Linked DNA regions of Lytechinus pictus. The protein of the gene in region 1 purifies or fractionates together with the protein of each later gene. This does not show direct contact. Links are inferred from orthologs where the notes say so. Each region holds a gene or a part of one and is shown on either strand. Other genes may lie near its edges.

Region 1 (7,231 bases):
AACATATAAAATGCATGTTTGTTCAAAAAAAATCTAGATATGAATGTATATCCATAAATTAATTGATTTCTTGACAATTTTTTGTGATCTCCTTTGTTTACTTAGGACATTTTGCAAATTTCCTGTAGAAAAAATTATGACACTGATTGATTTCCATAACGTTACGATTGATTGATCTCCATAGAGTTACGAGGGATTGGATCAATCGTAACTCTTTTTAAGACGGGGCCCTGAATATCCCTACTTATATACCATGGATTTTAAAGTATTAATGTGGACTATGTTAATTATTAGACGGTCGGTGAAAAATGCATTTGCAATTATTCTCTCTCATCCTTTTTTTTTCTACCAAGCTGAAGTTTGCCTCTGGCGGCAGTCCTGTCCCCGTCGCTTTATCAAATCAACTCCCATCATGCACCTGCCCTAATGAGATTGAAAATGCATAATGAAACCCACCAAATCTAATTAGTTTGTCACCGTGCATTTCACATAATATATGTCGTGTTAAGTGCACTTTTGAGCCTTGGAAGTCCGTCCAAAGATTCTCTATTAAAAGGGTCACTAATGGGAATTATACTTGACTCTATCATCTAACATCTAATGGCCATGGAATCATTTTTTTTTCAGCGACTTATTATCTGAAAATTAATCTGGTGTTTTTTTTATTGAACATTCTTTTTCTGTACTATTTTCTTTTTCCTTTAAAATGGAATCTTTGAGTGCTCATCATACCGTCTTTGGATAACCATGGGGCCCTTTTTTTTTATTAACATACAGTACACTTTATAGTGAAGTGAAATATTTTGAGTATGCAATGAATGGATGTGGAAGTATTCCTGGGTCCTGAATGGTTATGGGGGGGGGGGGAACGTTCCATGGATGGTGTACTTCCGGGGGGGGGGGGTGTTATTCAAATAATTATTCAGAAATAAGGGGATTTCCCTTTTCAGTGCCATATGATATAAATGTACATTGTGTCTAGACCATTTCTCAAAAGTAAATTTACCTGTACTTAGTACTGAATGATCTGTGTTGGTACATGTAGAAATGGAGGTGGCACCTCTGGTAAAAGATATATTGGAAATCTCACAAATTGATAAAGGCTGCAGTGGATACTTGGACATTTTGAGCAAATTTTATAAATTTTCCAGTGTGTTGAGAACAAAAGTTAAGATTTTCAGTAACATATATACATATTAAACACTGTATTTCTGATATGTAAATGAATAATCAGTTAATTCAAACAAGGACATTGAATTAATTTAAACTTGTGTACTTCCTGATTCGAACCATTTTCATGAATTCAGTAAGACTGTCTCCCATAGTCATGATTTGTGATTTTTATTCAAAGCCAAAGTCCACCCCAGCAACGAGTTGATGATAAAGAAATATGAATCAAGCCTAACACTGAAAATTTCATTACATTCGGATGTAAAATAAGGAAGTATCGTAGTTTTGAGTAGTAGAGTCTCACTTATTTTCACTCAGCACTAGTCAGTATACCTACCCGTGATAATGATGTAATTTTATCCATGAAGAAATCAAATCCAAGTTTTGTCTGGGAAAAGTAAATTACTTTGATGATGGCCTGAAAAGTAAAGAAATTGAGACCAGAGAACTTAATCTGTTTAATTGTAAAAGGCAATCACATTTTATCTGAACATCAGTTACCTGCAGGGATTTTAATCATATTAATTAAGGCAGTCTTCCAATGCATTTTGCCCCTTTGCCTTTTGAATTAAAACTGCTCTAATTCAGGCAGAACAAGATGATTGATACAAATATTTTAATTAAATGCAGCAATCTGTTCACCCGGGGGGGGGGGGGGGGGGAGTCAAACATCATGCTGTACACATGCTTGACCAAAAAATGCATTTTAAGGGGTGTTTGGAAATATTTTGTCATGCAAGTGTACAGCAAAACATTTGACTGCCCCCCCCCCCCCACCCGTGGGTCTTTCCACTCTTCTCTCAAAAAAGACATTAGGGAATGATACATGTTACTCTACTACAGCCCTGGGCTACTATTCATGTGCTTGAGAATTTATTTCTTAGATTGAATGAAGCAGTTTCGACTATTCGTGTGCTTGAGATTTTATTTCATGGATTTAATGAGGCAGTTTTGACTACTATTCATGTGCTTTAGATTTAATTTCATAGAATGAATGAGGCAGTTTTTAATCATTTTTGTTAATATTTTGTTATGGCTTGCATTAATTAATTCTAGAATATTGCTGTCATTTTTGTTATCATTTTTTTATGGTTACCAATTTGTAGCCCCATGCCTGGAAATCTAGAATAACTCAGGCTCAGGGGAAGAATTTTCATATAATCAAAAACTACTGCAAATTCTATCAGATTTGCTGAGAGCAAATTAGGCAGTGAATATCAATGACAAAACCCAAACCCTTCATTAAAAAAATATGTAATTTCAAATCATGCTCATTGTGCAATGAGTTTGAAGATTTTTTGCAAGTCATGCTGCAGGATGCATTCATTATCTTACACACACAGAATTTGAAGTTTGATAAGAGAATATACAAAGCAAACGTATCTGCCTCTTGAGCCGAATCATTATTTGCCTTTTAAATTGCTAAAAGATTCAAATAAAATAATATTGATGTGAAATGGGTGAAATTTTTACCAGTTTGAAGATGCTTGAAAATATCTCAAACTGAATATTTTTTATTGATTTCCGCCTGACATGTATACGAGTATATAGAAGTGGAGCCGCCATAGATTTTTTTAAATTTGCAATAAAAATTGTTAACAGTCGATATTTTATTCATAAGAGCTGGCCGAGTTTGTTGATTTTAAGTAGATAATGGATTGTATGCCAATGAACAAATTAAAATGAATACAGTCACCTTTTCCCACTACATCCTGAAAGCCTGAAAGGCCAGCTGTAGTTAAAGGGTACGAGGCAATGTCATTGGCCAATATTGATCCATTTCTATTCATTTCCCATCTAGTCTGTTAATAGGTTGTTTGATTAATAGGCCTCGCAGGTGAATCGGTAGGATGATGATGGGTACAGTCAGGTACATGGATGAAATTCATTAATTGATTGATGGATGGATGGATAGATAGATAGATAGATAGATAGATAGATAGATAGATAGATAGATAGATAGATAGATAGATAGATAGATAGATAGATAGACAGATACACAGACAGACAGATATACATTAGATAGATAGATAGACAGATGGATGGATGGATGGATAGATGGATAGATATATAGATAGATGTAGATAGATAAATAAATAGATAGATGTAGATAGATAAATAGATATATGTAGATAGATAGATAGATGTAGATAGATAGATAGATAGATGTAGATACATGTAGATAGATAGATAGATAGATAGATAGATAGATACATGTAGATAGATAGATATATGTAGATAGATAGATAGATATATGTAGATAGATAGATAGATAGATAGATGTAGATAGATATAAAGATAGATAGATAGATGTAGATAGATAGATAGATATATAGATGTAGATAGATAGATAGATAGATAGATCTATGTAGATAGATAGATATATCTATGTAGATAGATAGATAGATAGATGTAGATAGATAGATAGATTGATAGATGTAGGTAGATAGATAATGTAGATAGATAGATAGAGAGATGGGGGTATTGAGGGGAAGGTGTAGGAGATGAGGGGGGGGGGGAGGGAGGAGAGAAGGGGGTAGGGAGAATGAAGGAGTGCATATGGATGTTTTAATGTACACCAGACAAATATAAATATTTTTATTATTTATGCCTGTCATGTTCATGTAGGATTTTTATCTTGGTGATAATTTCTTATGAAAACATACTACATGTAACACACTGGTCATGAGTATCAATGCAATTTTTCAACAACTTCAAAAAGATTTATATATGGTATCATCAAAACAATTGTTTATTCTTGTTTTTCTATATGAATTACCCCTTTCTCTCGTTGTTTTATCTTTGCAGGGAGATTTGGCAAAGAAGAAGATCTATCCAACTCTATGGTAAGTTTTTTTTTAATAAGAATTGATATATAGGCCTATATGCAGGAAATGTATAGTGCTAGAGGGGTATTTAAAAAAAAGTTCAAAAATATTAGGACAGCTCAGAAGAAGCTTAATTACAACAGTGTGACATGGATGGCAACCTGCTTTTTCCTAGAGTTGGTTCTCTTCAGATATTATGAGACTGTTTTCAATGTGAGGTTGCCCCCATTTCAATATATTTCTAAAATACAACTTTTTCTGAGCGTCCTGCAATTTTTATTTGAAATATTAGGTGTTAACACCCAACTGACGATATTGTACATGTCACTCTACTTTAGGAAGTTCTTAAACATAACAGGATGAAGTCATGATACCATACAATTTTACATATATCTACTAGAAGGTGTGCTTTGCATTTCGTACATGCAGGCGTGTGATTCACATTTATAATCAGTGTTTGCATTCACTAAAATCAGTTACAAAGTCAATCAACTTTTTTAAACATCGATCAGTAATACAAATTCAGCTGCATACACTGACAGACTCATTAGCCAATAGATCAACGGTATTTACCTTTTCTTCAGTTATGTTTGTCAGGGAACGGGAATGGATATTACAGCCCTCTTTCAGACCAGCAAAATCAGTTGCGTTCGACGACAATTTTAGGGTTGTTTTAATTTTTTTTATTTTGGGGGGGGGGGGCGGTGGGTGGTGGGATGGGTGTAGGTTTTAATGATATGTGTTAAATTTGCAAGAAACATCACTTCCAAATAGTCATTTTGTGCGTTTGATTCGTAATTTCAATTGAAATACTATCATTGTCAATTGACTATTTTGACCAACTGGTTGACTGGGGGGTGTTTCACAAACATAAAACTATGACTTAAGTTAGGACACACTTAAATGCCGACGTGTACATGATATGCAACGCGCAATCTTTTTTATCAATATGTAGTAGTGCGCGTCCTTTTGGCATGATCTGACCAATGCTGTCATGCCTTTTATACCGTGCGCAACTAGATCTTTGTGAAACACCCCCTGATTCTAATGCAGTTTGCTATTGTTAGAAATGCACAGAAATAAAGAGAAAGGTGCTTGGCTGTTGTCAAGCTTCCTCTCATCCTCATCATCATCCCTTGTAATATATGTAGTCTTAATGGTTCAGAGCTTCAGACTCCCTGATGAGTGATGTCCGAATACCTTCAAACCATGTGTACGATCGATCGGCACATACACTTGTGTGATACATGCCACACCGAGTTCTGCTAGAAGCTTCATAATTGAGGAAGCAGTTTTATTTGTTATGCAAAATGTGTGTTTAAAAGATTGGGAACAACCAATTCCCCACCAACATGTAATTTTAAACTTCCTGGAGATAAAGATTTTTGTTTTGTGGTTTTCTCCAGTAGTTTTTATTCTCATTTTTTATGGAACCATAACCTAAAAGTGGGGCCAAAGCTCATTGTACATACAAAGGGAATTATTTTGCTTCAAAAAATAAGTTGCAGTTGAGTAATGAGAAAAAACAGCAAATTTTCAGAGGTAGTGAGGAAGTAAAATAATTTCTTTTTAAATTACTATCCGTATTGTTACTGGTATGACCGTATGACAGTGACATTGAAGTCTGAATGTGGAGCCTAAGCAAGTGCAGGAAATTTATCCCAACTGAAAAGCCATTAAAACCGTTCAGCAGCGCTCATTTATTAGGCCGTGCTGCTGCATACATATATGCAACCACCCATTTCTAAGCATTTGGATGTATGAAAAACATCCATCACTCAAAATGCAAAAATCCAAACATGGAGGATTGAATTTGGGTTCTACATTAGTTTCATGAGCTGTTGTCTCATCAACCAGAGTTGCCCGATCTTCAGATTCTAGCTTAATCGGCCCTTCTAATACCCCTTTCATAAACCCAATTATGCGGCTAATAGCAGCATAATTTGGTCGTAAAATCGGAGGAGGACCAGAGTTATCCGCATTATTTTGATGCTGCAATTATCCGCATAATAGCAGCATCGGGACAAGATTTTGAGTTTATGAACGTATTTCCAAATAATGCGGATAATTGCCATGGTGCGGTCACAAGGTCACCCTTTTCCAACACAACCGTATCGGAGGGGGCGTGTCCAGTTGTCATGACGATTATCCGCCTTTTTCAGGACGGGCGCTCGTAAAAATAATGCGGATAATTTTCGGAGTTTGTGAAAGCAATTTTTGTTGAATTATCCGCATTACTATTAGGCGGCTAATTGGAGGATAGGTTTATGAAAGGGGTATGAGGTTCAAGAAACCCCATCCCCATCAGCCCAAATGGGTGGAATTGTCACTTGAGTGTTGAATGTAACCATGTGTTTGTAGATTATGTATACTTATGGCTCTATGTTTGAATAACGTGGGATGGTATGGTATCGTGAACAATAAATTATCCGAAGCCAAAACCTGAGTGTGTCTCCACCTGTAAATTAGCTGAATAATTCACAAAATAGAGTGCTATTAATACCCCATTAATCTTAGTTGATTTGGTATTCCAATCTCCAATCTCAAGTCAATGAAATATTGAAATAATTTTATCTTCAACACGGATAATCATTAGACTGTTCTAATCTCGATTATTTGCCAAATCATAAAATACGAAATTGACTTGGGACTAGAATATCAAAATCATGGAAATGATATGTCCCGAATATTAACTGCAACTTCCTTTCAAATAATCTTTGAGAATTTTTTTGATCAAGATAATTTGTTAGGTCAGAAATTGCAGGATAAGTTTTTTAAAAATAGGGCTGATGGGAGACTTACTACAGTGCTGGCAAGATCATGATTTTATTTTTTAGATTAGACAAGAGGGTGTTTACTTGTGAGCATTGAAGAAGCATGGTTGCTAAAATAAGTATGATTTTATGATGCGTAGGAGCATGAAGTTTGGTTATCAGAAATGGGCCCAACTGGCCAACACCCACAAAGAAGAAAAAGTCTATGCATTTGAATCAACTACATAGGACCAACATGTACATTCAGTACTACAGCCATTGCACGTCCCTTGGTATGGAGAAAGAAAATCCACAAGACTGACATAAATTAGCATGGCCTGCAATTTCTTGTCTGAAAGCACCTTGTCAATGTGTGTTTATGTTGGAGAGGTTGGCCATGGGTACGATTGCCACAGTTGATTGAAAGTCGATCCTGAAGCGGCAGCAGGAAACGTCTCTTAAATCAAGATGGCACATTTT
Region 2 (7,409 bases), on another chromosome or scaffold:
TCTCTCAACATTTTTTTTTCTTTTTCCCTTTTTAGACTATAAGTTTGATATACAATACTGCCATTTCATTTTTTTTCGTTATTCTTCAAAGGAATAATTTATATTTTTTGGAAAAAAAAAGTTAAAGAATGAAGTAACCATTTTTTTAAATACAAAAATTAGTAATATATCTTTTGATCTTTCAAAGATATTTAGTGAAATTAGCGGACTCAAAATGCTTTTAAATTCGATCTGCCAATTAAATTTTTTTTTTTTTAGCCTCCCGAATTTGGGGGTGCGGTTAGTCCTTTGCCAGGACTGTTCTGCTTTTCAGTTGATCAATAACACAATCCTCGACCTCAACGCCCGAAATGAAAACAGCCCCACGAGGGGCGTGAAAGAGGGATAGCGCGCAGGGGAGAATGAAGCAAGGGGAGAGAAATAACAAGTACACCGACGTCTAGAATCTAGACTAGGGTGCGGTTAATGCACGGCCGCGGTTTATACTCCGAAAAATATGGTAATGTAAAAATGCATAAATTTCAATTTTTGAATGGTTCCTGATGACTTATTTTTGTTTTATTTTTGGAAACGGGTTTGAAATGATTTGTCTATACTGAAGCCTGGGGCCCGTTTCTCAACACATGGACAAGTTAGTCATATCTTTATCCACCAACCACGGAGTTAGTTCCAATCTTACTAAACCTGTTTCTCGAAAGGCTTCCTAACTAGAATACCTTGATATCGATACTATCGGTAAAAAGAGCAGACGAGATGTAGCCTTAGTCACAACAGAGCATAATTTTCCAAAATAATAATTATGACAAAATTGCAAATATTATGATGAATTGGGAAATAAATCTTTTCAAAATAATAGCACAGGTGAATTATGCATCATACATACTTAGACCATGAAGACTGGAGCATTCAATTGCAGAGAAAATTAAATTATGAATACTTAATTTCATGACTAAAAAATCACTTGTGGACGTTGAGATGGGTACCCCCGGGATACCCAATTTTAATAGTTTACGAAAGTAAACCATAACGGTTTTCTATCTCTGTAAAATGATGATAATTATACGGACTTTTACGATTCCAAACGTCATCAAAATATAGTTTAACGAAATATTTTTAATCATTGATACCGAAAGATACGATATTGGACAAATTATATGCATAAATTAGAGATAGAATTTATCCAACTGTTTATAGGGTTCTGAAAACAGCAAATACGAGTTCAGTTATGGATGGCCTGACGTGGTAGAATCTTTATCGATTAAATCATTTTACTATTTCAAAATGAATGGTTCTGTGGCGTTTACCAACAGTTTTTATAGTTTCTTTGTATTACAATTATCATTGAATGCATTAACCCACTTGTTTTGTGATGTAATTTCAACCTCTATGATTGATTACGTAAGATTATAATTTTAAAATATCTAGGCACTTTCGCATGTCATAGTCTACCCACGTGATGCCACTACGTCATTAAGAAAGAAGTTATGACAGGTTCGGAGGTGTCATAAATATTTAGTGAGGTTGTTGTACCCGATCTTGGTAAAGAGGGCTTCGTGAAACGGTTAGCGGACAAGTAGCTCACTATCTCCGATTTAGTCAAGAAGTTAGACTTATGACGGTGTTGAGAAACGGGCCCCTGAAGGTGCAGTAAAAACATTTCCAATTTTCTGAGAAATGACATTTTATGGATTTTTTACCACACAAGTACATAGTTTTATTGCACTCAATTCAATGGGAAATGTATAAAAATTAATGCTCATAATGGACAAGTCCTGCCCTTCCCCCCAAGCCAACCTTAACGTCTTCATTTGAGTTTGAGTTTTTGTACAGAAATCGAAGTTTGAATTCTAGTGTAGAAATCTAAATTCGATAAATAGGAAATGGTTGAAGTCCATTCTGAAATTGCTTATGTGTTATCTACTTAGTTAGATTTAAACAACAAAGTAGTCCACCCCAATCCGATTTTGATGAAATTTTCAGCGTTATGCTAGTTTGATTTTTCTCTATTTATTCAAATAGATCTATATTTTTCTGGGATGGACTTGGCCTCAAATTAAAATAGTTCAGGCTTGCTTGAAATTATCCATTTTATTACCGCATGCCTTTCCTGGTGTAGCTAACACAGAAAACGGTATGTGGAACCGCATTATGAACAGTAGGCATTTTTCAGGGATTTTCTTATCTTTATTTGTTCATTACTTTGTAATTATAGATTTTTCTGTACAATTAGGCAGATATTCATTTATAAGTTTTTATAATTCTGTGTAAGTTTTGGTCAATTCTGTAAATATTTGATTTTTTTGTCACTTGTTGCCATTACCAGAGTTTATTTTTAAGCAGTCATTCCTTGATCATTAGGCCTTTAAGCTTTGATTTCTATGAAGAACTCATCTTTTGGAAACTTGATAAGTGATGTCATCTGTTGAATGTGAACTTGACAACTTTAACCAAATAATCAGAATGTTACAACCAGTGTGATCCCAACATACAGGTTTGTTACACCTGGATGCTTTGTGGTCCCTAGATCTATCCCGGGATTCTGACCTTCCTCTTCATAACAATACCTCCTATCAACTCAAACCCAACACTTCATTAGGGCCGTCTGCACCCGCCCGAGTTTTCAAATTAGCGCGCTACTTCTGATCCGGCAAATTATCCCGATCTGAACAATCTCGAGATTATTTGTAATGGAAACACAATTATCGCGCTAGTTTGCAGGATTAATCTTGAGATTGCAACCCCAAGTTCGCAGGATTAATCTTGAGATTGCAACCCCAAGGCAACTTGGAATTATTTGCAAAATAGCGTGCTATTTTACGAATTATCCCGCTAATTCACAGGTGCAAACGCACTCTGGATTATTCATTCACGGCGTCAGACCATAATGCATGGATGCCACGCTCGAGCAGGAATCGCTCTTCTTGCGATGGTGGAGACGGGGTTTCTTGAATCTCGAGATTAATTGCGAAGAGGGCCGATCGGGCTAAAATCTCCAGATTGAGCAAACTCGGCTGGTGCAGCACCGCCTACTGTGTCTGGCACTGCATCTGGATCTAGTCTGCTATGCAAACCCTTCACTTGAGTTGTGGTCTGTATGTACTGTATGTGCATCCTATGATCCTACAATGACCTGTGTACAGAAGGCCTGAAATAATTTAGACACCGTTCTCACTACCTTCCTTAAACCAATTTAATGGAAACTAGTTTAGTGGAAAGTGGTTTAACACGTAGCAAGAACAGTCGAACCGGTCTTGGAAGCAATCTTCCAAACCAGTTCGGAATACCACCTCGCGATGTAGTTTTCAAGATCGCTTCGCCTCGATAAACCGGTTTTAGCGCAAGTGAGGACACAACCCTTCTTCGTGAAGCGATCTTCGCACATTTTGTGCGCGCTACTCCACGCGACAGGTGTAGAATGTCTACGCTGCGGTTTCGAATTTCGCGCGAAATGTGTCGCCCCACTGAGAGTGTTTCCATACATGTAGCAACAAGATTGCTTTACGTGAAGTGATTTTGAAAACCACTTTCGTGTGATCAAGTGGGAACGCTAGCAAAGCGATCTTCCAAACTGGTTTCCTGAACCGGTTTCCAGTAAACTAGTTTTAGAAAGCAAAATGTGAACGGTGTCTGAGTCATGTGTGAAGACCCATTTAGTTTCTGCCCCCAGACTAATCTTGATTGGTGTTATCGCTGGAGCAAGTTTAAACATCCCAAGACAGTAGACAACAAGGGCAGTGGAACGGTTTTGGAAGGGGGGGGGGGCTGACCTGGACATTTCTTAACCAAACCAAGTTTAAACAATGGTTTCATCTATAATCAAAGGTGCATTATGAACCCTGTTTGCAGTGTGATTAGTACAGATCAGAATCAGACCTTGATACTTTGTTGAAATTGCCCATTTGCTTTAATAGACTGTGATTCTGGAGAGCCTGTGAGCTGGCAGTGATTTAGATTCTGGTGTAGAGTTGCATACAGTACAGTACAGAAGGCCCAGCAAGTTGAATACTAGTCTTGTATGAAGGCCTTCTTGTTGATGAAAGTTTCAACCAGGGTCTATGCCTGCAGACTATAGCTAGTCTGCGTATCATGCTGCACATGTAGAATTTGTCAGCAGTTATTACAGGTATAATTCAATTCCTGCCAAACGCCTTTTCTCTGGACCAGGCCACTTGACATTTGGATAATTCAGCTGTCTTCATGGTTTTATAATAAAATGTGTCTTTTATAATTGAAAGACATCCAACATTTTGTTTGTTCTAAAATAAAACATTTTCATTGAACAAACCCTGGTTGTGATTGACTCTGTGTTAACGCTCCCAGATCCAGGGAAGCCTCCGGAATGGAGATTTTAACAAAGCTCTACTGATTACACGTTCATGTTCTATTGAGCTGACAACATGGATAATGACGTCTTCCTGAGGAGGCAGTATGTCATGTATCGTAGTATAGTGAATATTGGTTGTCTGATCAGAGAGCTCAAGCTTTCTAAACCTCTTCATTATAAACAGAGGGTAAGTCAGTCATTTCGTCTTCGGTGGGGATGTTTCACGTGGTAAAATTTCAACTTAAAATTCGGACCTTAAATACTGTATTTTCAGTCATTTTGGGTAGCATGCCTAAATTTTCTAGGCCATGGCCATACAGGTCCTTCGATGCCCTCATAAATTTCCTCGATACCCTTTCAAATATTTGTAGACTTAAGGCCAAAGGGTGATGCCCCTTTTTCTTGTGGCCTTGGTGCCCCATGGAAGTCAAAAGTAAATTTTACTATTGATCCCTTTTTTAATGGCCTTGGAGGCTCCCTAAGGTCAGCACTGCCTTTCCTTTCCTTTAAGTGCCCTTCCAAAAAATGTTATGACCCCGAATATATATATATCGGTCATACTTTGTTTATTATGTTTTCTATTTGAACTCCTTTTTTAAATTTTTGTTCACTTGTTTGAACATGTATCTTGCATTTTACTGTTGGGGGAACCGCCTATCGATTGGATATGAGTTGTATTCAAGACTTTTCAGAAGCGTTGTGGAATGACATTCTGAACTTGTTTTTTTTAATGAAACAGAAATGCCTATTAAAAACGAGCACATGCATAAAGTCTATCTCATATTTTCAATATAGATCTATCTTTATTTTCTATCTCTTCACAGGAATGTAGTATATGATTGAATGAATTATTTAAGGTGTTTACTTATGTCTTCAAGACAGAATGAGACACCTGTAGGTCTATTTGAATATATATGTAGTTTTCAGGCAGAGTGAGTTTTTATCTACCTCATCTCTTTTTTAATAAGTATGTGTAAGTTTGTGTCTATGTAAATTTATATGGATTTTTTGGGGGGACATTTTGTTGTAAGGTGTTTTATCCCTTGTTTACCTTTGTACATTTGAAATGAATTTATGTGAACATAAAAATTTATACTTTGAAAAGATTAATATAGAACAAGATACAATAAAAATGTACTTGAATGTACAGTATACTCTAAAAAATGTGCTTTCAGATGCAAACCATGAATCTGAAAATGGGAGCTTATTGTTATGCATCGTAACGTACATGTAACATTCGGTTGAATTGATTGATGTTGGTATTTTCCAATGTTAAATCTGTACATGTATCCAAGTTCATCTGGTGAGACATTGTGCAAATACAAATTAGTAATGCTCATTACAGTAAACACAAATAATGATTACTTGGTGAACTCTCAAAGAATTACTCTCCATTTGTTCTCCCTTCTCTCTTTCTCTCTCTCTCTCTCTTCCTGGACCTCAACACCTGTTGATCTTTGATGTCACCCGGATCTTCTTCCAACTGGCCTGGTAAATCTATCTGGGGCTCCCTCTAATGGTTTCCTGACATCAACGACCACCCTGGATTGGTTTCTGTAACGACGGATGCCAACTGCTGGATGAATCGTGTGATTACACTTCATAATGCCTGTGGAATATGCTCCGGACGTGCAATTGCGGGAAACGTCCTTTTGGGATCATTAATTTCACAACAACACTGTTGCCTGGATGTACAACTTATAATGACTTTTGACCTAAACCCTAATACATTCTGATTGGATCTGATTGATGACGGCCTACCTGGATGATTTGTGGACCATGTCACTTACTTCAATGGAATTAATGTCCGCAACAATGTTGTAATGATTACGCCCTCTTGTGTCGGGAATATGAAATCTAACTTCGGATTCTCGCACCTGGATTGGGAAAACTGATTGTGATGTGAAAATTGAACTGTTGCCATCTTGAAACAAAACATTAATGACTTTGTGTTCCTGGATTCTTTTCTGTGACATCAATGGCCTTAACCTGGGCAAAACTGTGCTGTCTCCGCCAACGTATCCTTCCTCGCGCCCTCCGCTGTTTTTCCATCTCCCCTGGATTGCATTCTGATCCATTTGATGAACAGGTTTGTTTACTCATTGAATATTGAATAATCTAATAGGCTCCATTCATCTTTGGCCCTCAGTAGCAGTAGTCCGGGTTATAATTGAGCAAGGTGCCACACGGAAAAGGAGAAATTTTCATATAGTGCTTCTAGACCAGTTTTTTACGCTGAATATGAATATATGAGGTAACCAGGCTGTATCCTGAAAATTAACCCGTGAGGGCGCTTTTTTCAAAATGGCCGCCAAATTTTCAGAACATTCGAATTTTCGTACATAGATTTTGACATAAACATTCCATTGCCACAAAGTTAGTGTCATATGAAAGACAAATAAATTTCCTACAATTTGGTACTATTTAGAGGGGATAAGTAGGTCATTTGGCTGAGATTTTAAGTAGAAACTGCATTTTTTGCCATTTTTTCCCAAAAATTGAAAATGTTGCAAATACATGATTTTACATAATTCTAAGAAAAATGGATCAATTACCTTGAAATGTTCCAGAAAACTTTATTGATATACTATTATTATGTGGATGAAATTCCAACTCTGTATCATTCTTTTTAGGAAAATTATAAGGTATCAAACTTGAATACTTCATTTTCAGAAATGCCACTTTTTGTATGCATTTCCATAGACTAATACGTATAACATGTATAATACATGTATGTATAATGTATAGTAACAAATGTAATGCAATTATCTCCGCTTTTCAACCACTTGGAGAGTCAAGAGTAGGCTTTTCTCTATCAGCTACATAAAAAAATGTTGGCACATCAAGGTCTGACCCTCTCATGGGGGTGGGGGTGTCGAAGTCACCCCCCCCCCCTGCCCTTGGCTATATCATGTTGTTGTATATTTGTTGGAAAAAATACTGTTTTTGGAGCACCCATGAGGCAACAGGCATATCTGCAATATACAGTTCAGCCACTTTGATTGCGGCTTTGAAACTACTTGGAGAGGAAACAGTAGGCTTTGTTCTACCAGCTACATCTAAAGAAGTGGCACATCGAAGCCTA

What was found.
Region 2: the proteins of glucose-6-phosphate 1-dehydrogenase X-like (region 1) and histidine--tRNA ligase-like fractionate together in Homo sapiens (co-fractionation; 3 studies listed by BioGRID). This does not show direct contact. The link is inferred for Lytechinus pictus from reciprocal best matches to the Homo sapiens genes G6PD and HARS1.

Annotation. Positions count from the first base shown.
Region 1 is NC_087247.1:6,506,359-6,513,589, reverse strand, and holds the start of glucose-6-phosphate 1-dehydrogenase X-like, read left to right. Parts: upstream 1-3,983; 5' UTR 3,984-4,016; intron 4,017-7,231. UniProt on the Homo sapiens protein: Catalyzes the rate-limiting step of the oxidative pentose-phosphate pathway, which represents a route for the dissimilation of carbohydrates besides glycolysis.
Region 2 is NC_087249.1:38,482,539-38,489,947, reverse strand, and holds the start of histidine--tRNA ligase-like, read left to right. Parts: upstream 1-4,368; 5' UTR 4,369-4,397; coding exon 4,398-4,511; intron 4,512-5,808; exon of another isoform or gene 5,809-6,302; coding exon of another isoform or gene 6,303-6,413; intron 6,414-7,409. UniProt on the Homo sapiens protein: Catalyzes the ATP-dependent ligation of histidine to the 3'-end of its cognate tRNA, via the formation of an aminoacyl-adenylate intermediate (His-AMP). Plays a role in axon guidance.